Linked DNA regions of Canis lupus familiaris. The protein of the gene in region 2 interacts with the protein of the main gene of each other region in a pairwise test. Links are inferred from orthologs where the notes say so. Each region holds a gene or a part of one and is shown on either strand. Other genes may lie near its edges.

Region 1 (5,227 bases), on a different chromosome or scaffold from region 2:
GGTAAAAGAACTTTGTCACTTAAATTCAGAGAGATTTTAGTTTGTTTTATATGTTAAGCTCATTTTATATTTCTATTTTTCAATGATTTTTAAATAGAAACTTAAAGAATTTTAAACCTCTTAGTGAAATCATTGGTCAGTAAAATTGTTCGTTCAGTTTCGTTCAGTTTATTCCAAGGAAAGTCCTTAGACCTGTATGGTCCTTGCTATAGTTGTGTCTGAAATATAATCAGGTGGTGGTGCAGTGCAAACCAAGATGAGGGAAGCCACCTTTAAAAGCTTCATGAAAAAAAAAAAAAAGGAAAAAAAAATAAAAGCTTCATGAAGGGGTGCCTGGCTGGCTCAGTCAGTGGAATATGGGACTCTTGGTACTAGGGTCATGAGTTTAAGCCCCATGTTGGGGGTGGAGTTTACTTTATAAAAAAAAAAAGCTTCGGGGATCCCTGGGTGGCGCAGCGATTTAGCGCCTGCCTTTGGCCCAGGGCGTGATCCTGGAGACCCGGGATCGAATCCCACGTCAGGCTCCCGGTGCATGGAGCCTGCTTCTCCCTCTGCCTGTGTCTCTGCCTCTCCTTCTGCCTGTGTCTCTGCCTCTCTCTCTCTCTCTCTGTGTGACTATCATAAATAAATAAAAATTAAAAAAAAAAAAAGCTTCATGAATTTTTTTTGGGCTTTTTAGTATGTATTTTTGTTGTTTCTCCCTCTGCCTATGCCTCTCTGTGTCTCTCGTGAATAAATAAAATCTTAAAAAAAAAGTATTTTGTAATTAGTATTGCTGATTTTTTTTTTTTTTTTTGTATTGCCAACCTTTTGTCCAAAAATTTGTTAATTTGTTTTAGGTAATATTTAAAACTATAGGAGCTTTCCATTTAAAACTACTAAAAAAAAAAAAATAATAAATAAAAGCCTCTTCAAGTGAATGATTTTATTTTAGCAGATATTTTAAAATTCTGCTACGTTATGACATATTAAATACAAAGTGAGTTAGAACTTACAGCTTTTTGTCCCCCTCAGCTTTCTGCTAAGCGAGAGACTAGTGGAGAAAAATCCAGACAATTAAGAGATGCCCAGCAGGATGCAAGAGATAAGATGGAGGTAAGATTATAAACGAGGCTTATGTTGACTTACATTTTTTGACCACAGTAAATCCTTTTGTACCAGAATTAGGGAGTGGAAACTTCAAACAGGTGTTACTGGGATTGAGTATTAGAAAGACAGAATAGTACTGAACTTGTAAATGAAGGGAAAAAAGGACAGAACTAATAGAAACTCTGCTGTTCCACTTCTAATTGTTTGATTCATTTGTTTGATACTTGACTAGGATATTGAGCGCCAAGTTAGAGAATTGAAAACAAAAATTTCAGCTATGAAAGAAGAAAAGGAGCAGCTCAGCGCTGAAAGGCAAGAACAAATTAAGCAGAGGACTAAGTTGGAGCTTAAAGCCAAAGATTTACAAGATGAACTGGCAGGCAATAGTGAACAAAGGGTAAGTTAAAATGCTAAAAATGAAAGACTTATAAATGTTAAAGCTGAATAGGAATTGCAAAAGACCATGCCTTCTGTCATGGGGGTACATGATTTTAAATTTTTGAAAAAGATCTGGCACATTAAAATAATTTCTACTCATGTAGCAGCTCAGTACTGTGTCCTGTTTCTTTCATTTAAAAGTTAGTTTTGTGTTGCAGGATCAGTTTTCTCATCAATTTTTTTTCATGAGAAAATATTTTATGCTAGACTTAAGCAGAAATTTTTAAGATTGCATTTTTACTTACCCTGCTTTATTTACAGAAACGCTTATTAAAAGAGAGGCAGAAGCTACTTGAAAAAATAGAAGAGAAGCAGAAAGAACTGGCAGAAACAGAACCTAAATTCAACAGTGTGAAAGAAAAAGAAGAGCGAGGAATTGCTAGGTCTGGGATTTCTTTTACCATTTCTAACTTTCTATGTAGTTTTTCTGTGAAAGCTAAATAGTTATGAATTAAGACACAGAGCAAAAGTTAAATCCAGTTTCAAAGTAATAGTCTATGTTAAACAGCTACTGTGGGCCAAGCATTACTGTATATACATCATATACATTTTTTTCACTCAGAAGCCCTAAGAGATTCACATCCTCAGTGTAAGTTCAACAAACTCAAGGCTCTGGTACGTTAAATAACTTGCCTAGATGTTGGGCTTTTGAAAACATGGATTTGTTGTTCTTTTTTTTTTTTTTATTAAACCAACATAACATCTTGCTCTGTTTCACCCTTTTTCCTTTTTTCATTGTTGTTTTAACATCTGGACATTTTAGTGTCTGTAAATTGAACATGACAACTTTGCTGATTTCATGGTTTAGTGCATTATGTTTTTATGCTACCAGTATCTGTTTTAGTAAATTATTTCCTTTGCCCATTTTTGTCTGATACTTTTCCTATTGTTTGATTAGGGTTGTTTGTAATCTGTATTTATTCTAGTATTCTATATATTGTAAATGTTTTGTCTTTCTCTTGCCCTTTTTTTTTTTTTTTTTTTTAAGACTTTATTTATTCATGAGAGAGACAGAGAGAGAGAGGCAGAGACACAGAGGGAGAAGTCCAATGCGGGACTCAGTCCCGGGTCTCCAGGATCACCCCCTGGGTCAAAGGCAGCGCTAAACCGCTGTGCCACCTGGGCTGCCCTTTCTCTTGCCTTTTAACCTTGGTAGTATCATTTATTGTAAGGAGTTAGAAATGTCTATATAGTTAAATGCATTTTGAAAATTCCTGAGAGTAGTAGGATATTAGAACTGTCTCTAGCTTTACTAACCCAGACCTGGAGTAGAAATAAAGACATTATGTGCCTGAAATCCTTAGGATATGGGCTATTTTACATGACTTTAAATGTGACTTTTCAAAATAAAATTTATAGGGACGCCTGGGTGGCTCAGCGGTTGAGCCTTTGGCTCAGGGCATGATCCCAGAGTCCCGGGATCGAGTCTTGCATTGGGCTCCCTGCATGGAGCCTGCTTCACCCTCTGCCTGTGTCTCTGCCTCTCTTTCTCTCTCTGTCTCTTGTGAATAAATAAAATATTTTTTAAAAATAAAATGAAATTTATATTATTTAGTACTAGTCCAAGGAGCTGTATTAGATACCAGTTGCTTTTGTTTTTTTAATGGAATTTTAAAAATGACTATTGTTTCTGTGTGCTCTTGACATATCAATTGCAGTTTAAATTTATTTTCTCATCTCTTTTTTAATCATTCTTTTCTTCTGTCTTGTATAGATTGGCCCAAGCTACCCAGGAAAGAACAGATCTTTATGCAAAGCAGGGTCGAGGAAGCCAGTTTACATCAAAAGAAGAAAGAGATAAGTGGATTAAAAAGGAACTGAAGTCTTTAGATCAGGCTATTAATGACAAGAAAAGACAGATTGCGGCTATCCACAAGGATTTGGAGGACACTGAGGCAAATAAAGAGAAAAACCTGGAGCAGTATAATGTAAGAGCTTTTATAGCTACTTTGTGAAAACCTTTCAGAAGACATAAACATGTACATGTTGCCTATTTCATTAAGTTTTACTTTGTTGAACAGTTACATTGCTACTCTTAATTTACAGAAAACAGGTACTTAGAAAAGATTAGCCCAATTTAATATCTATATGGTAGTTTTTTTTCCAGCTCTATAAGAGTTCGTATACATTGAGTATATCTTAAAATATATTTTTATAAATTGGTGGAATGTTCCTGAAGTACCTTTAATTTTAACATGATAAATCTAAAATATAACTTCAGAGTAACTTAAATTTTTTTCCATTTTTACAATCTTTCACAGTTCTCTGTCAATAACTTATACAGAATATATTTTTTGTTAAGGCAGTGGTGATTTTATAAGATTTTCTAAATGAATTAAACATTAGCTACTATGCATGTTTGGTAGCATTTTCTAAAAAATGGAAGTAGAAGATAAAATCCCATCTAGAATAAGAAAGATCTCACATTATTTAAAATGAGAAAGAGGGAAAATGGTAAGTGTTATGTGTGGCTGTATATAGGTGATTGAAGGCCTATAGAAATGATGAGAAAGGGAGTGTGTAGGACAAGTGTAGGGTGAGGATGTTCTATATGTATCTACACAGAGGAACCCTGTTAACTTATGAGATCTGCACCAGTTGGTTATTGGTTTATCAAAAAGCCACTAAATGCATAAAATCTTGACATAGGTAAGATGTATATTAAAATTTTATGTATAATAGTAAATATTATTTATATACATGTAAACATAACATATCTTATTTTGCTTATAAAGATAAAGGTATGCTCATGGACTGGGCTTTTCATTTTTTAAGAGCAGTGTTGGGTTCACAGCAAAATTGGGAGGAAGATACAGAAGTTTCCTATATATCTTGTACCCCCACAAATGCATAGCTTCCCCCATTATCAGTACCCCCCCACCAGAATTCATACCAGTCTTTTCATGTAGAGCCCAAGATGTTTCTTTTGAGTATGAGTAGTTTCCAGGGGACTTTTTTGTTACGAGCCACGCATGTAAGTATAGTTCTCCTTAGAGCTGAATGAAACTTCCAAGATTCAATCTAGGGTCATATATTATATTTAGTTGTCATATTTCTGTTATCTTTTGTAATCTGGATCAGTTCCCTAGTCTAACTTTGTGATTTGACATTTTGAATTACTGTATTTTGTTAATAAAGTACATATTACATATTAATACGTGTTTTTATGTATTATGTTATTTCTCTCGAGTCTTTTAGAGTTGATTTCCCTATTAAATTCAGTTTTTAGTGAGTCACCTTTGTGCAAAACTAAATCAAGTTTTTAGAGAAACCGCTCTTTGCTTTGTCTTCATAGTCTGTTTAATATTTAACACAATCAGAGCATAAACAAAAAACAAAAACAGTGGTGAGCAAACACAATTTGCTCTGTAATCGTAAATAACTGGTAGAAGAGTGACCAGGAGTAATAGACAATAGTCTTCTAGCTTCAAGAGTCCAGTGTGCTTTGGTCAGGATGTTTTATGGAGGGAATGGAAAACACAGGTTGATCCAGATAGTTTAGTTACTTGGAAATTGATTCATATAGTTTCAGCTGTGATGGCTGCATGTCCTTTCCTGAAATAAAGAAAATGTGTTTGTCTTGAATTCATGGAGACAACCTCAACAAATACTCTTTGAAACAGCCAAGTGATGAACCAAGATTTTTCAATAGAGTTTTTATTCATTCTTTCTTAGGCTTGAACTTCATTATATTTTGCAG
Region 2 (5,227 bases):
ATCTCTTAGCCTCTCAGCCTGTCTATCGCCGTCCCTCTGCCTTTCCCTTGTAACATATTTGTTGACGAAGCTGGCTGGTTGTCCTTCAGGGTTTCCCACAGTTGACTGTTACTTATTACATGCCCGTGATAAGGTTCTTCACGTGTTCTTCCATTCTTGTAACTTGGTTCCAGAGACTTGAAGAGATGCAGGTTTGGGGCAGGAATGCTGGTCAGTGGTGTTGGTTCTTCCTGACGTCTGTTCGTGACGTTAGCCTGGATCATTAAGGGTCACGTTCTCGTCCTACCCTCCCTTCCTTGAGGTTTAGCTGGAGGACACCGTGGTGCAGAGCTTCCTCCCCCACCTCTGCCCCAAAGCGCAGCCCCTAGGGAGAGGGTTTTCCTCCCAGTGAGTTTGTGTCCTGGCACCGTCCAAGCTGACTAGGGAGGGCTTGTGGGGTGATGGCTGTAGATACCTCTCCTACCTGTATGAAGTCCTGGGTTTTCCTTTAGCACATTTGATGTGCCTCACTTCAAGCCAAATCCTTTCTCACTGATGTTCAGATTGTCCAATATGTAACCGAGGGAGCCTGTTTGAGTGGTTTTTGGGGGCTTTTGACACATCCCAGGAGACTTTGCAGCTTCCTTGTTTTCTGAGACGACCAGATGTTTCAGGCTCATTTTGTGTATTTCCTGCCCCATAGCTGGAACCCTCCATTTCCCCAAGGAGCCTGGCTGCGTGTTGCTTCTGGGTTGGTCATTGTTTTCAGGGGTTTTCTTGCCTTTTTTTTTCTAATGAGAAAATATATCCAAGTTCATACTGGTATTTCCAACGCAGCTTTACTATACTAGAGTCTTTCCTAAATTTTTGATATTATACGTACGTGTCTATCTCATGCCCCAAATCCTGGCTCCCAACGTCGCCATCTGTTTGCCTTACCCTATGGCATGCACACGGCATCTTTAGACCACCACCACCGGTCACTAGCAACAACAATGACTGAAAACACTATCGGGTGTTTCTTGGGAGGTCAGGTCTGTCTGTTCTCAGGTTATGTCCCATCAGGGATGGACAGCCAACCACTCTGTTGCAAAGTTACAAAGCAATTCTTTGTTAGGCTGTGCTTGCCAGTTTGATATTATTAGGTGTATTAGTTTCATTTTGGTTTCAATTTTTAGGCATTGAAAAATCTGATTTTATTTATGTAAAATAATACATTTCTGAGGTGAAATGTACCAAACAATGTATATTCTGAGATTGGGGCCTCCACCTGCCCTCTCCCTGTAGGTAATGGTAAGACATATGGCTTATACTTTGATTTAAAAAACTGTAAGTTAGTACATGTGCCTGGAGTGTGTGTGTGCATTTAGCAGTATCTGCGTGTCTCTGTCTTGCTGTTGTGACTTGGCATCGTGTGTTGGCGTTCGTCCCCGAGCAGCGCAGACAAGTCATCCTCACTGCTGCTCACAGCTGAGCCCTCCTCTGCCATCCGGGTGCTTCGGGGCGTATGCAGCCAATTTCATATGGATGTGCATTTGCATGAGACAGTATTCTAAAGAAAATGTTTTGTATGATATTTACCCCCATGGGCAATTTTTTTTTTTTTTAAAGGAAGTTGAAGGCTCTTGAACTAATATAAAAGGAGTATTTGTGCTTAGAAACAGCTCAGAGTTGGCACACCTGTTTGTGGCAAGGTGGCTATATGTTTGAATGTCCATCTACGTGTCCTCATAATTCTTTTCTGTTTCCAATGTTTTTTTTTTTTTTTTTTTACCTTTGAGGAGCTGATTTCTTTGAAACACTCTGAAGTTTTTTTTTTTTTCACTCTGAAGTTTTATAGTTAATTTCTACCACCAGCTGTATTAGACTATTGTAGACTCCAAGCAAATAAAGATGATTTGAAGCCATGTAGAATATAGATAGAAAGAGGAAAAACAAGAAACTAGTGTTCTTGCCTCCCCTCTGCCCATTTAGAATAGAAGAGCTCTTTAGAGAATAACATAAAATCACTGATTCTCAACAGGAGGACTTGTGAAAAAAATTCTGGAGACCAAGAAAGATTATGAGAAGTTACAGCGGTCACCCAGACCTGGAGAGAAGGTAAGAAGTGATGCCTGCAAATGTGCTCATCAGCAGAGTCCGCTGACACACTTTAAAGCTCCCCGCTCCACCTCCTCCTTGGTTGGGAGGATAGAAAATTCTGGGCTCCTCTGGCGTGTCCTGGGTGGGGGCTCAGGAATCAAGGCCAAGGGCCTGTTCTGCTCTGATCCCGTGGCTGTCCCCTTCCTGCCTCGTCCAGTCCCTCTCCCTGCTTGCAGAGTCGGGAGGCTGGCCGCCTGGCCCTGGCTGCCTCCACACTAAGAGACCAGGGAGTTTTCAAGTCTGGCTTTTAAATCCAGGTGCTGCTTATCCCTGGCCTGCCAGCTGTCTTTCTTGCAGCTGTGGGATGTTGTTTGTTGGGACCCGCAGCTCCTGGCCAGCCACCGCCCCTGAGCATATGACCCTGGGGCAAATACTTGCCAGCCACATAGTAGGCCTCAAATGTCACAGCTACGTTTCTGTTATAGTCACTTTAAAAAATAAGAATGTATCTTCACTTACTGGTTTTGTAACAGAAAGATGTTTCTTGGATAGTTTCAGCAGCAGCCAACAATTCCAGGAAGTTTTACACACATGCACAGATAATTCTGCCTCAGATGTCCGGGTTTGTAATGACGATGTGGCTTGAAACAGCAGGGAGGGGACTCTGCAGTTGATAGCCACCTCAGGGGGGCCCCGGAACAGTCCCAGGAGAAGAGTGCTCCCCGGGGCTCTATCCACGGCAGCACCGTTGGCTCCTCTGAAAGAAGAATGGTCTTTCTGTGGTCCATTGTCTGTGCTGTGAAATTTTCATGTCATAGGCCTTTTCACAGGCCCGAGGGGCTGTCCTGGTGTCCCTGGCAGTGTTTCTGGGACCCAGTCGGAAACCGTGAGTGTGTCCCTCCAGGCTGTTAATGTAGGCAACCTTTGAAGCTTCAGTTGGTTTAAATTTTATAGCCCTGTTTGCTATGCGATGCACACAAGGTCTGTGCTTTAGGCTTTCGTCTGAAGAGTAAATTTCAGAGTACATACTTTGACTTTAGAAGATAAAAGGGAAAAATGTCCTTGAGTGGTGAACATTTGCTGCTTTAGAAAAGTACAGCTAATAAGTGCTTCAGAATCGGGGTGATGTGTATTGCAGACAGGGAACAAGGAGGCTGCTCTGCTCTGTTTTCCGTAGTACGCTCATAAACATCAGATTTAAATTTCACTGATTGGTCTTCTGAAAAGAGCTTAGAGTTTTAAAATAAAAGCAATTGAAACGTACAGGAAAAGTTGATGTTTTTTCTGCCTCTGCCCCAACCCCACTGTCCGTAGGGCAGCCACAGGGACGAACTTGGTGTGAGCCATACTTTAAACGCAGCTGCCTCTGCTCGGGTGAGTTTTCAGTGCTGCCCTGTTGCTGGCATGTGACGCAGATTGCTTTCTTTGGGCACCATTAAGTTCTGAGACCCTCCCTGTGTGGATACCTGGGGGTCTAGTTCAGTCGTCTTAATTGATGACTGGTATTCCAGTATTTGTTCGTTAATTCCTTTAATGGTGGACATAGGTTTCGTCAGCCTTCCACAGTTATAAACTCTGACGAACTCCTTTCATGTGTCTCCTGGCATGCAGATGCCAGTGTCTCTCGGAGCACCAGTCGGCAAACATTTTCTGAGAAGGGCCAGATAGTAAATATTTTAGGCTGATGAGCCGCGTACAGTCTGTTGCAGCTTCTCAGCTCTGCTGATGTAGCCTGAAAGCAGCCCTGGTGTAGACAGCAGTAAACCATGTGTGTGGCTGTGTTCCAGTAAAGCTTTATTCACAACAACAGGACCCAGCCTGGGGCTGGAGTTTGCGATCCTGCTTTAGAGTCTGTGTCCACGCTCAGAATTGCTGTGCCAGAGCACGTACAGAGCTTCGATTTCACCAGGTGCTGCCAAATTAGTCCTCTAAGTGGCTGTCCCCAGGTACTGTCCCAGTGGAACAAGAGTCTTCCACGTGTGCACCGTCCACAGGCAGCATGGTCAACTTGTGCATCCCCCTCCCCACCCCACCCTGCAGTGGCCCATGCCCTGCAGGCCTATGGGGTCCCTCCCAGCCACCTCCCGCCAGGGCCCAGCAGCTGCTCCTCTGCATTTGGCCACTGTGGTTGGTGTTTCCCAGAACTGCAGTTGAGTGGAGTCAGAGGGCATGTGCTCCTGCTTGGCCTGGCTTCTTTCAGTCATCACAATTATTTTGAGATCTGTTTTTCAGCAGGCATCAACAGTTCATTTCTTTTTATTGCTGGGTAGTGCACTGTCTGGATGCACCACAGTGTGTGTATCCATCTGTCAGGTCATGAGTGTTTGGGTCATTTCTAGTTTGGGTCTCTTGCAGGTAAAACTGTGGAGAACATTCACGTACGAGTTCCACGTGGACAAACACTTTGATTCCTTTGGGTAAATACCGAGGAGCAAGACCGCTGGCTCACATAGTCAGCGTATATTGATCTTTCCAAGAAACTGCCCAGTGTTTTCCAAAGTGGTTGTACCACTTATGTTTTCACCACGGCCTGTGAGAGTTTCGGTTTTTTCCTGTCCGCATCAGTGCTTGGAACAGTCACATTCTTTGTGTTTAATATGCATTTCCTTAATGGCTGATTATGATTCGGTCGTGACTGCTGATTCCTTCTCTTGGCTCTTTTCTTAGTATTGAAGTCTCCGTGTTACTAGCTTTTCTGATCATTTGAGCTAATCCTTTCTCTTTGCTTTACAAGTCAGTTTCTTGAATGGGTATATTCCGTTTTTCTATTTCTTTTGGAATTCAGAGATCTACAGCATTAGTGGCTTAAATGAGGTGGTAGGTGCTTTAGCTCACAACTCAGAGTCTGCAGGTGGTTGTGGCCCATGTGTGACCCTGTGCCTTAGGGCACCTCGTGGTCCAAGGAGGCTGTCCAGGTCCATCCAGCAGGAAGGAGGGAAGGGGAAGAAGAGAAAGAGAGGAACATGCCTCTTTCCTTCTAGACTATTTCTCGGAAGTTGTACGTACTACTTCCACTTAGGTGATACTGGCCAGATCTTTGCCAATAAGGGACAGTGAAGTGAAATCCTTACTCCAGGCATCAGTTTGCTTAGGTAACAATCGGGTTCCACACAGACTAGAGTTTGCCAAATTTTCTCGCTGCCTGGCATGTGCAGAAAATGATATT
Region 3 (5,227 bases), on a different chromosome or scaffold from region 2:
ATAAAATTCTTAGAACACTGGTTAATAAACTCCTTGATATTTGTCATTGTGGGGATTTTTTAGATTTGACACCAAAAGCCAAGGCAACAGAAGCAAAAACTATATCAAACTGAAAACCTTCTGCAAAGCAAATTAAATTATAAACAAAATGAAAAGGTAACCTATGAGCAGGAGAAAATAGTTGTAAATCACAAATCTGCTACGGGTCTAACATAGAAATACATGAAGAATTTGTATATACAACTCAAAAGAAGAAAAACCAAACAATTCAATTTAAAAACGGAGAGAGGATGTGAACACACAGTTTTTCACAGAAGACATACACAGATGGCCAATGTGTATGTGAAAGGTACTCAGCATCACTAATCATCTAGGAAATGCAAATTAAAACCATGAGCTATTCCCTCTGTTGGAATGGCTATTATCACAAAGACAAGAAATATCAAGTGTTGGTGATGCTATGGGGAAAGGGAAACCTTTACATATTGTTGGCAGGTAGGAATGTAAGTTGGGTGCAGTCATTATAGGAAACTATGAAGGTTCCTCAGAAAACTAAAAATATAACTACCATGTAATCCAGCAATTCCATTCTGGCTATTTATCCAAAGAAAACAAAGGTACTAACTTGAAAAGGTATCAGCACCCTCATTTACAATACCAAGACATGGAAACAACCTAAGTGTCCACTGACAGATAAATGAATAAAAAGATGTGACATATATACATATATACACAATGGCATATAATAAAGCTATTTAAAAAAGAATGCAATTTTGCTATTTGTGACAATGTGGATAGAATTTGAGGGCATTATGCTAAGTGAAATAAGTCAGAGAAAGACAAATACCATATAACCTATATGCGGAATCTAAAAAGAAAAAAAGAAAAAAAAAAACCCTGAGCTTATAGAGAACATATTCATGGTTACCAAAGATGGGAGTTAGTGGGTGGGCAAAATAGGTCCAGGTGAAAAGGTACAACCTCTCAGTTATAAAAGTCCTGGGGATATACATGGTAGTCACCATGTTACAGCATGAGGACCATAATTAATAATACTGTATTATATATTTGAAAGTTACTAGGAGAGTAAATCTTAAAAGTTATCCTAAGAAAAAGAAAATTGTAACTGGTTATGGATGTTAACTAGATTTGTAAGGATCATTTTGCAACATCTACATATGTTTAATCACTACATCGCATACCAACTAATATGCCACTTCTACCTCTATTAAAAAAAAAAAAAAAAAAAATATCTGCGCCCCAATGTCCCAGGCATTTTCTTATACATCCTCATTTAATCCTCAGAAAAGACATGAGGTATGGACTACTAACTCTAATTTATGGATAAAGAAACAAAGGATCAGAAGGGTTATGTTATACAACTTTAAAAAGGTGAAGTGGTAGGGCACCTGGGTGGCTCAGTAGTTGAGCATCTGCCTTTGGCTCAGGTCGTGACCCAGGACTCCTAGGATCAAGTCCTGCATCAGGCTCCCAAGGAGCCTGCTTCTCCCTCTACCTATGTCTCTGCTTCTCTGTCTGTCTCTCAAGAATAAATATAATCTTAAAAAAAAAAACAAACAAATAAAAAAATGGGTAGGGAGGTATAGCGCCAAATAGTTTTATTTTTTTTTTATTTTTTTATTTTTTTGCCAAATAGTTTTAAAAAAAAAATTCTTTACTAGCCACTTTTAAATCAATAATGTTTCTAAGAATTTTAATGGAAGAAATTTTTAAAAATTGATTTAAAAGATTAAAACACTATTCACAATTATAATTTTTACTGTCCACAAATAGCATCCTTACCTCTGGAGGTTTCATATTCAATACTTTGGTAATTCGGCCCTGAAAAATAAAATGGCAGTTACTATAATGATAAATTAATCACCTACCTAAAGGCATACATGTTTATCTTCACTGAAGCTGTTCCATCCTAATATACCAATCTTTAAGGAGTTCTTTCTTTAATCTACATGAAAAGATGTTTCTTTTATTATATTTGAGACCAAAGGTACCTTATAATTCCATAATTTTGCCAATTACCTTTTCACTTACCAGTGATATGGTTATTAAAAAATATGAAATTAACTCAGACCGTATTTCTGAGGCAACATTAATGATATAAAAGTGTCCAATAAGTATATAAATATATAAATTTTAGCATAATTGTTTAACACGTCTTTTTTTAAAGGCTACACTCCAAGATAATTTCTAGAAATAGACTGCACATTTGTGAGCCTCAAAAAGAATCGTAAAATCTTTTATTTCAATGCCAGAATATCGCTACCAAAAAAAAAAAAAAAAACAAGACAAAACCCCACTACCTAAGTCTCAGAGCATCATATTACTTAGGATTTAGATTATTTTTTTTAAAGATTTTATTTATTCATGATAGAAACAGAGAGAGAGAGGCAGAAACACAGACAGAGGGAGGAGAAGCAGGCTCCATTCAGGGAGCCTAAAGTGGGACTCCATCCCAGGAATCTGGGATCACCCGGAATCAAAGGCAGACGCTCAACCACTGAGCCACGCAGGCATCCCAAGGATTTAGATTCATTTAAAATAAATTTTAAGCTTTAAGGCTGTGATGTAGTAAAAATAAAGTTATTTTGGTCACATCAGGATCATGCCATTGACCTTGCGGATAAGTCGAGTGAGATAATATAAGGGCAAGAAAATATTAGCACTTATTTTTCATTTGAGTAAGTCTCTCAGGAAGGAAATTACTTAAAATTTAATATATATTTGAAATAATAAAATGCTTCAACCCAATACTCTGAAAGAATACATTATGACAATATACTTTAAATAATTCTTATAGGGGATCCCTGGGTGGCTCAGCGGTTTAGCACCTGCCTTCAGCCCAGAGCATGATCTTGGAGTCCCAGGATCGAGTCCCGCATCACGCTCCCTGCATGGAGCCTGCTTCTCCCTCTGTGTCTCTGCTTCTCTCTGTGTCTCTCATTAATAAATAAATAAAATCTTTAAAAATAAATAAATACATTCTTATAGTGACCATGTATTATTCTTGTAATAACAAAATAAGTCAAAGAAAATTACTTCTAGACATTCTTTAAACTTCAAATGTGTATGTTAGAATATATCAATACACATAACTAACACATACTTCTTAACAGGTACCCAAATACCAGTGCAACAGAAAATAAAAAATGGAAAAGCCAAAATGAAACACTTGTCCTATTAAAATAAACGATGTCAAAACTATTATATAAAGACCATAAACAAAATACCTGCATGATGAGAAAGTGAGGGTTGTTTACATTAAGGCCAACAGAACAGAAGAGATCTTGTACTCTGGAATTGTTTGCATTTACTCCATTGATTAAATATTTATTTCTACCACCAATAACCACCTAAAAGGGAAGTATTTTTAAAAATATAAATGAACACACGTATCTTGAACTAAAATGACAAATTCCCAAATATGTTTCACTTGTTTCTTCTGTCCAACAAATGGTAAATAAAACCAATCCTAAGTAAATAATGGAGGAAGTAGGAGGTGGTCAAAAGACTATAGATTGAATCAAGATAACCGACTTCTAATCCAAGGACTTTTGGATTATATAACCAAGCACAATCCTCCTAACCTCCCCTGCATTGGACTAGATCTCTAAGGTCACTTCTGACTTTGTTTTCAAGTACATGTGAAACGATATTCTTTTTTTTTTCTTTTAATAAATTTATTTTTTATTGGTGTTCAATTTGTCAACATACAGAATAACACCCAGTGCTCATCCCATCAAGTGCCCACCTCAGTGCCCACCACCCAGTCACCCCCACCCCCCGCTCACCTCCCCTTCCACCACCCCTAGTTCTTTTCTCAGAGTTAGGAGTCTTTCATATTCTACACATGATCATTCTCTGTAATTTTTCCACCCTCAGAGGTTAACCCTTCTTTCCTCCACTTTTTAATTTCCAAAGAACAGAACGTAGATACTAAAAACTAAAGACAAGCAGTTCTTTTTTAAGAGGAAAGGGAGAGACTCTTAAGCAGGCCTCATGCCCATCAGGGAGACCGACAAGGGGGCTCAATCTCCCAACTTTGAGATCACGACCCCTAATCAATAGTCAGATGCTTAACCGACTGGGCCACCCAAATGCCCCAAAGATAAGCAGTTTGATAACAATCCTTGAGAGATTCTAAAAGGAGTTAATAAAGACATGACTTTTGAATTCTTGAAAGAAAAAGAGTAACCATAGAGCTTCAAAGAACAACTTCTACCAGACACCAGCTTGTTCACACTGTACTATAGCCCTTATACTGTCACTTAATGGACATAATCATGTCATCCTCAGTATTTTGAGGTCCTTAAAAAGATGTTGCTCATTTTTCTCTCTGTATTTCCCAGTGCCTTTAAGAATGCCCAGCACACAGCAAACTACTGGATGAGTGTTAATTCATTTCTTTTCTTGACAGGAGTATTAAGCTAATAGATCATATATTAATATATTTAAACAAGAAATCTAGTATACATAAATATTTTTTAAAAATCCCTATAACAAAATTTTGGTGAAAATAAAGGCATATGGACTGCATGAGGACAGGAATTTTAGGTAGATTAGTAGAAGACTTATGAAAATTCCTAAAAGGTATCTGATGGATGCTTAATGACACAGAACAGGATTTTATCCCAACCTAGTCAATGCCTTATTTTTTCTTAAGGTTTTTATTAAAAAAGAAAGCAGAATCTACAAGCTACATAATGCTAACATAGAGAGTAAACAGGACTTAACAGAATTTTTAAAAATAAAACTGACAAAGGAACATTGTATGACTATAACAAGATAAAGGGACAAAGGTCTGGTCCTGCACTGGTTTCAAAAACCTTCTTACAAATAGAAATGGTAGTAACACAGCTAATACACATTTTAAAAATTACGGTGATTTTTAAGTAAGTTGGATATGAATTCATAATGTATTTTGAACTCTCCAATGTCATATAGGGGAAAAGAGAATCGCACTTAAAATGAAGTGACAATTCTGCTTAATCCTGTCCTAAGGAGACTAATCCTCGTAAATGCAATTTAAGGCGCCATGCATGAAATAAAGGCAAAAAAAACCTAGCGCAAATTTGTATTCAGTGGAATCAGACAAGTGAAGGAAATAGAAACAATTTTATCAGTTGAAAGACCTAGAAAGATTTAGCTTAAATATTTAACACCTCAATATTAAACCGAAATATTAAAATATGGATTATGATCTCAAAGA
Region 4 (5,227 bases), on a different chromosome or scaffold from region 2:
GCCAGAAGGCAGATGCTTAACCACTGAGCTATCCAAGCGTCCCTGCATAGTATTTTAAAAACTACTTTTTTGCCTGACAGTATTTTGTGTATACCTTGTCTTGTCATTACATATTATCTTATGACATCATCTATAACATTTTACATTTTTAAATTTAAAAATGATATGTTGTCACTGTAAGACATTTAAATATCACAGAAAAGTATTGCAGGCGTAAGCTACTGTTATTCTGCTCTCAAGTGATAACCACCATTAGCAGGTCTCTATACAGCCTTCCATTTCCTTTTTCTAAGGCTATTCTGTCCATATGCTTTTAAAAAGATATAATCACTTTACACACACTGTTTTTACTTTTTCACTAAATTGAGCTTGAACATGTCAGAACATGTAAACCACCCTAACTCTTTTTAATGGGAGTAGAATATGGAACTATCATAACCAACATCTTGTTAATGAGTGTTTGAATTATTTCTAGTTTTACTTTAATACAGATTGAACATCCTTCTACATAGATCTTTAAGTGCTTGAGTAAGGGCTGTAAAATGAATTCCTAGCACTGGACTCACTGATACAGAGTACAAACAGAATGGACATTTAAATATTTAATAGAATTGTCCTCCAGAAAGACTCTATCAGTTTACAGTACTCCCTCCATTGGAGAGCATCTTCACAACTTATTTCTCTTTGTGGATTCCGGTTTTGGGGTTTCAAAGGCTTTTACCAAAGAGAGATCAGACAAATATTTCAGGTAGATTTTTTTTTCCCCATAAGCCAGACTTTTCAAATCTCTTAAATATTAAAAAAATATATCTACTAGTTTTCCTTTATGCAACGAAGTAAAACAAAGGAAACAAAATGAAACACACATTAAGAAATTAAGAAAAAATACTTGTACATGGTTTAAAAATAGAAACAATCCAAGGGCACTGGCTGGCTTGGTCAGAAGAGCATGCAATTCTTCATTTCGAGGCTGTGAGTTTGAGCCCCCCCTTGGATGTAGAGATTATTAAGTAAAATAAAACTTAAAAATTTAAAAATATATGTAAGTGGGACACCTGGGTGGCTCGGTGTTGAGCATCTGCCTTTGAATCAGGGTGTGATCCTGGCATCCCGGGATCAAATCCCATATTTGGCTTCTGCATGGAGCCTGCTTCTCCCTCTGCCTGTGTCTCTGCTTGTCTCTCTCTGTGTCTCTCATGAATAAATAAATAAAATCTTTTAAAATGTGTGTGTGTGTGTATACACACACACATATATATGCAAGCCAAGATACAAAATGTAAAATAAGGGATCCCTGGGTGGCGCAGCGGTTTAGCGCCTGCCTTTGGCCCAGGGCGCGATCCTGGAGACCCGAGATCGAGTCCCACATCAGGCTCCCGGTGCATGGAGCCTGCTTCTCCCTCTGCCTGTGTCTCTGCCTCTCTCTCTCTCTCTCTCTCTCTCTCTCTGTGTGACTATCATAAATAAATAAAAATTTTAAAAAATGTAAAATAAAAGACTTGTCTCTCTTCAAAGTAATCATTGTTAACATTTTTTGTATAATTCCTTCTAGAAAAAAGTTCTATGTATAGATGGAATATTATGAATATTCCTAGAGCCGTTATCTCCAGCTCTGACCAATTAAAATTTTATGACTTCCTTAATTAGTTGAAACATGTCTCCCCAACTCTGGTGACCATAGACCTAGGAGCTTTACATTTCAGTTGGATAAAGATGGGGTCTATAGTAAAACAACTTGACAACTAAGTCATAATCTCTTTATACTGAATGGCAGGAAAACATGACTGAGAAATTTGTCATTTGTGATGGAGAACAAGCATAGTCTTATTTAATCTTACCAGAAAAAAAATCTTACCAGAGATCTGCACTTTAGTATGATTACATAGTGAATATATTCTTTGTTTGGTTCCCCAGGTTTTAAATATTTTGTATCTTTAGCATGCTTGTTAGCACATGATTTGTAACATAACCTAAATGAAACAAAGTACTTGTAGGTCAGTAATTTGTTTCAGTATCTCTTTGCTAAAAGGAGGCCCATGATTCTGATTTCATATATTTCTTTCACGGAGAGAGAGCTTGTGTTAATGTTTGAACAACAGCTCAGCATCTTGGTGTACCTGTATTTCATTTACACAATAGGGAACATAACCGACATGTGCCCCTAACTTTGCATCTTTCATTTAATGCATCTTGAAGATTCGTCCGCATCAGGACATATGCATCTATTGAGGAAGATATTTTTAAACCTAGAGGTAGATTTTTAATGTTAATGAATTGTCTTTCACTCTTCACGGCCTGCGGCCCTACTGTCTTTTCCCATTGGTTTCCCAGGGAAAGGCCTGGAGTGGTGCAGTACTAAGTCATCACACCAAGACTGAGATCCCCTCACACAGTCTGAGGCTGTGACACTTCTCAATGGTGCTCTCTAGCGCACAGGAACAGCTCCTGGTGTCAGCACCAACTTTTGCTCCTCTTTGTCTGGTTTCCTTCATCCCGCCCCCCCCCCCCCCCCCCCCCCCCGCCCCAAACTGTCCGTGGATATAGATGGCTGAAAAACAGGTACCTTCTCAGGCTAATGGAAGGGGGCTGCAGCATTTCTTCTTCCTCATTTCCTGACTCCTGATGTCTGCCATGTTTTATTTCCATTCTAGGGGAAGCCATATGTCTTTGACCGTGTGTTCCCCCCAAACACGACTCAGGAGCAAGTTTATCATGCGTGTGCCATGCAGATTGTCAAAGGTAGCATGTATTATCTTTGTAAGATGTATTTTTAGAATGTATATTTTCTGGTTCCCCATTCCCTACTCCACTTCTTTCCACCAATGCTCTTTCTTGGCTATGTCTTCCAGATGTCCTTGCTGGCTACAATGGCACCATTTTTGCTTATGGACAGACATCCTCAGGGAAAACACATACCATGGAGGTGAGGGCTCTGACTTTCATGAGGGGTGAGGAACTGTGAGTGTTAATGAGAGGCCAAGGAATCTCAGGCAAGATCTAGGAATCAAGCTTGCTTGGTCTGGAGGATGAACTGAGGGGCAGGATTATAATGGAAGCTTGGTGAAATCCCTCTAGCCTGCTGCAGTTTCCCATCCTTTCCACTACTCCAGTTTGCTTCTTTTGATCCAGAAAAGCAGCTGCAATAAAGGTCCAAAGGGACCCTCAGTTCTCTCCTTGTTCTCGGTAGACATGGCAGTGACTGCCTTGTACCTTCAGATGATCCTCTCATCAACTATCACCTTCATGTTCACCTGTTGACCTCTTGGGTGGCCTCATTGTTTTGAGTTCCAGTCTCAGTCTCAGATACTCTTCCTCTCCAGGGAAAGCTGCATGACCCCCAGCTGATGGGAATCATTCCTCGAATTGCCCGAGACATCTTCAATCACATCTACTCCATGGATGAGAACCTGGAGTTCCATATCAAGGTGATCACGGTTTAACAGCTGGGTGTCGTCAGAGAGGGACTAGGAGGAGAAGAGCTAGTATGAACTCATTGAGAACCTGGGCACCCCAACTTATTTTCCTGCCCTGCTTACCACAGTTCTTCTGCTCTATTTCTCTTCCTCCTACTGGTTGAGTGGGTCACATTCACTTGAGATCCCTATATCAGACTTATGATAGGCCCTCTTCACTTTCTCCCTGACCAGGTTTCTTACTTTGAGATTTACCTGGACAAAATTCGCGACCTTCTGGATGGTGAGTGGTGTTTAGCCCCATTGGATGGGCAGGGGTGGGAGGAGAGCAAGGAAAAGAAAGATCACATTGTTCTTGGCAAGAGATGCAGAGGAATCACACACTCATACCCCTGTCCCTTGCCTCCATTCACCAAAATTTCTAAAAGCAAAAAGGGTCAGAAGATGAGCTGAAATACCTAGGCCTATATAGAAACACCCTGAGACCAGCTGGAACCTTAAGGCTAGAATCCTGGAGGAGGAGAAATTTAAGCTTTCAGGGTGTGGGGATTTAAGCTTGATGGGAAAGTCTTTCTCCTTTTTAAAAATTTAATTTATTTGTTTGTTTGTTTGAAAGAGGGAGAGGGAGAGAGGACACAAGTTGGGGGTAGGGGGGGCAGCAAAGGGAGACAGACAAACAGACTCCGCACTGAGTGCAGAGCCTGAAATGGGGCTCGATCTCATAACCCTGAGATCATAACCTGAACCGAAATCAAGAGTTGGATGCTTAACCAACTGCACCACCCAGGAGAGGGCTTCTTTTTTGCATGTAGAAGAAACCACTGTCTCAGCAGACTATAGGGTACGGGGTTGGGGGTGGAAGTGCTAGCCTTGCTTACTCTGCATTGTTTTGATTCAGTGACCAAGACAAATCTGTCTGTGCATGAGGACAAGAATCGGGTGCCATTTGTCAAGGTGAGTGTGGGGACAGGGGTACCTGGGTGTGGGTCACTGTACTAAGAGTACAGGAGGGTAGGCCAGAGGCCCAGAAGCTGGAGGGCAGATGTTTTGGAGGAGTGAGATGTGCCGAGGGGCTGGGGAGAGTCTGAGGGCTTGGAAAAGACATTCTTAAAAGGTCATCTGATCAGTTTTCAGGTAATATAATTTGCAGATTGCCGTTTATGGGTCACTCTCCCTTTGAACCCTGCAGGGTTGTACTGAACGCTTTGTGTCCAGCCCAGAGGAGATTTTAGATGTGATTGACGAGGGGAAATCAAATCGTCATGTGGCCGTCACCAGTGAGTGGGGATATAAGGGGCTCTTGCACCTGGGAGTCTGGTGCTTGTCTGTGTCCTCTGGGAGCTGAGGGAATAGAAGTGAGCAAGGGAAGACTGTGTCCTCCAGAAGAAGAGGCTATTACTGTGTGTGCCACCCAGCTGCCTGGGAGACACAGTGGCGGGGCTAGTCCTGGCAGGTGCCCCCTCTCTCTGGGTTGGCCAGTGTCAGTGGAAGCTGGGGGGTGAGGGCTTCGGCTCCATAGGTGTTAGTACAGGGACCGCTTCTCCCTTGGTCCTGCAGACATGAATGAACACAGCTCTCGGAGCCACAGCATCTTCCTTATCAACATCAAGCAGGAGAACATGGAGACCGAGCAGAAGCTCAGTGGGAAGCTGTACCTAGTGGACCTGGCAGGGAGCGAGAAGGTTGGGGACCTGGGAGTGGGGCGGGTAGGGAAAGAGGTCTGGGCAGGGGGAGCTTTTAAAAATCAAAATAACGGGGATCCCTGGGTGGCGCAGCGGTTTAGCGCCTGCCTTTGGCCCGGGGCGCGATCCTGG

What was found.
Region 1: the proteins of TRAF3IP1 (region 2) and SMC3 interact in a two-hybrid assay, tested with the Homo sapiens proteins (2 studies listed by BioGRID and IntAct). The link is inferred for Canis lupus familiaris from reciprocal best matches to the Homo sapiens genes TRAF3IP1 and SMC3.
Region 3: the proteins of TRAF3IP1 (region 2) and SMC2 interact in a two-hybrid assay, tested with the Homo sapiens proteins (2 studies listed by BioGRID and IntAct). The link is inferred for Canis lupus familiaris from reciprocal best matches to the Homo sapiens genes TRAF3IP1 and SMC2.
Region 4: the proteins of TRAF3IP1 (region 2) and KIF5A interact in a two-hybrid assay, tested with the Homo sapiens proteins (2 studies listed by IntAct). The link is inferred for Canis lupus familiaris from reciprocal best matches to the Homo sapiens genes TRAF3IP1 and KIF5A.

The regions. Positions count from the first base shown.
Region 1 is NC_049249.1:22,130,542-22,135,768, forward strand, and holds part of SMC3 (structural maintenance of chromosomes protein 3), read left to right. Parts: coding exon 1-1; intron 2-1,014; coding exon 1,015-1,095; intron 1,096-1,321; coding exon 1,322-1,486; intron 1,487-1,788; coding exon 1,789-1,910; intron 1,911-3,241; coding exon 3,242-3,455; intron 3,456-5,227. UniProt on the Homo sapiens protein: Central component of cohesin, a complex required for chromosome cohesion during the cell cycle. The cohesin complex may form a large proteinaceous ring within which sister chromatids can be trapped.
Region 2 is NC_049246.1:49,086,129-49,091,355, forward strand, and holds part of TRAF3IP1 (TRAF3-interacting protein 1), read left to right. Parts: intron 1-2,002; coding exon 2,003-2,079; intron 2,080-3,375; coding exon 3,376-3,435; intron 3,436-5,227.
Region 3 is NC_049232.1:60,450,118-60,455,344, reverse strand, and holds part of SMC2 (structural maintenance of chromosomes protein 2), read right to left. Parts: intron 3,372-5,227; coding exon 3,249-3,371; intron 1,843-3,248; coding exon 1,804-1,842; intron 1-1,803. UniProt on the Homo sapiens protein: Central component of the condensin complex, a complex required for conversion of interphase chromatin into mitotic-like condense chromosomes.
Region 4 is NC_049231.1:2,000,325-2,005,551, forward strand, and holds part of KIF5A (kinesin heavy chain), read left to right. Parts: intron 1-2,651; coding exon 2,652-2,739; intron 2,740-2,849; coding exon 2,850-2,923; intron 2,924-3,320; coding exon 3,321-3,425; intron 3,426-3,647; coding exon 3,648-3,696; intron 3,697-4,311; coding exon 4,312-4,367; intron 4,368-4,602; coding exon 4,603-4,690; intron 4,691-4,970; coding exon 4,971-5,095; intron 5,096-5,227. UniProt on the Homo sapiens protein: Microtubule-dependent motor required for slow axonal transport of neurofilament proteins (NFH, NFM and NFL). Can induce formation of neurite-like membrane protrusions in non-neuronal cells in a ZFYVE27-dependent manner.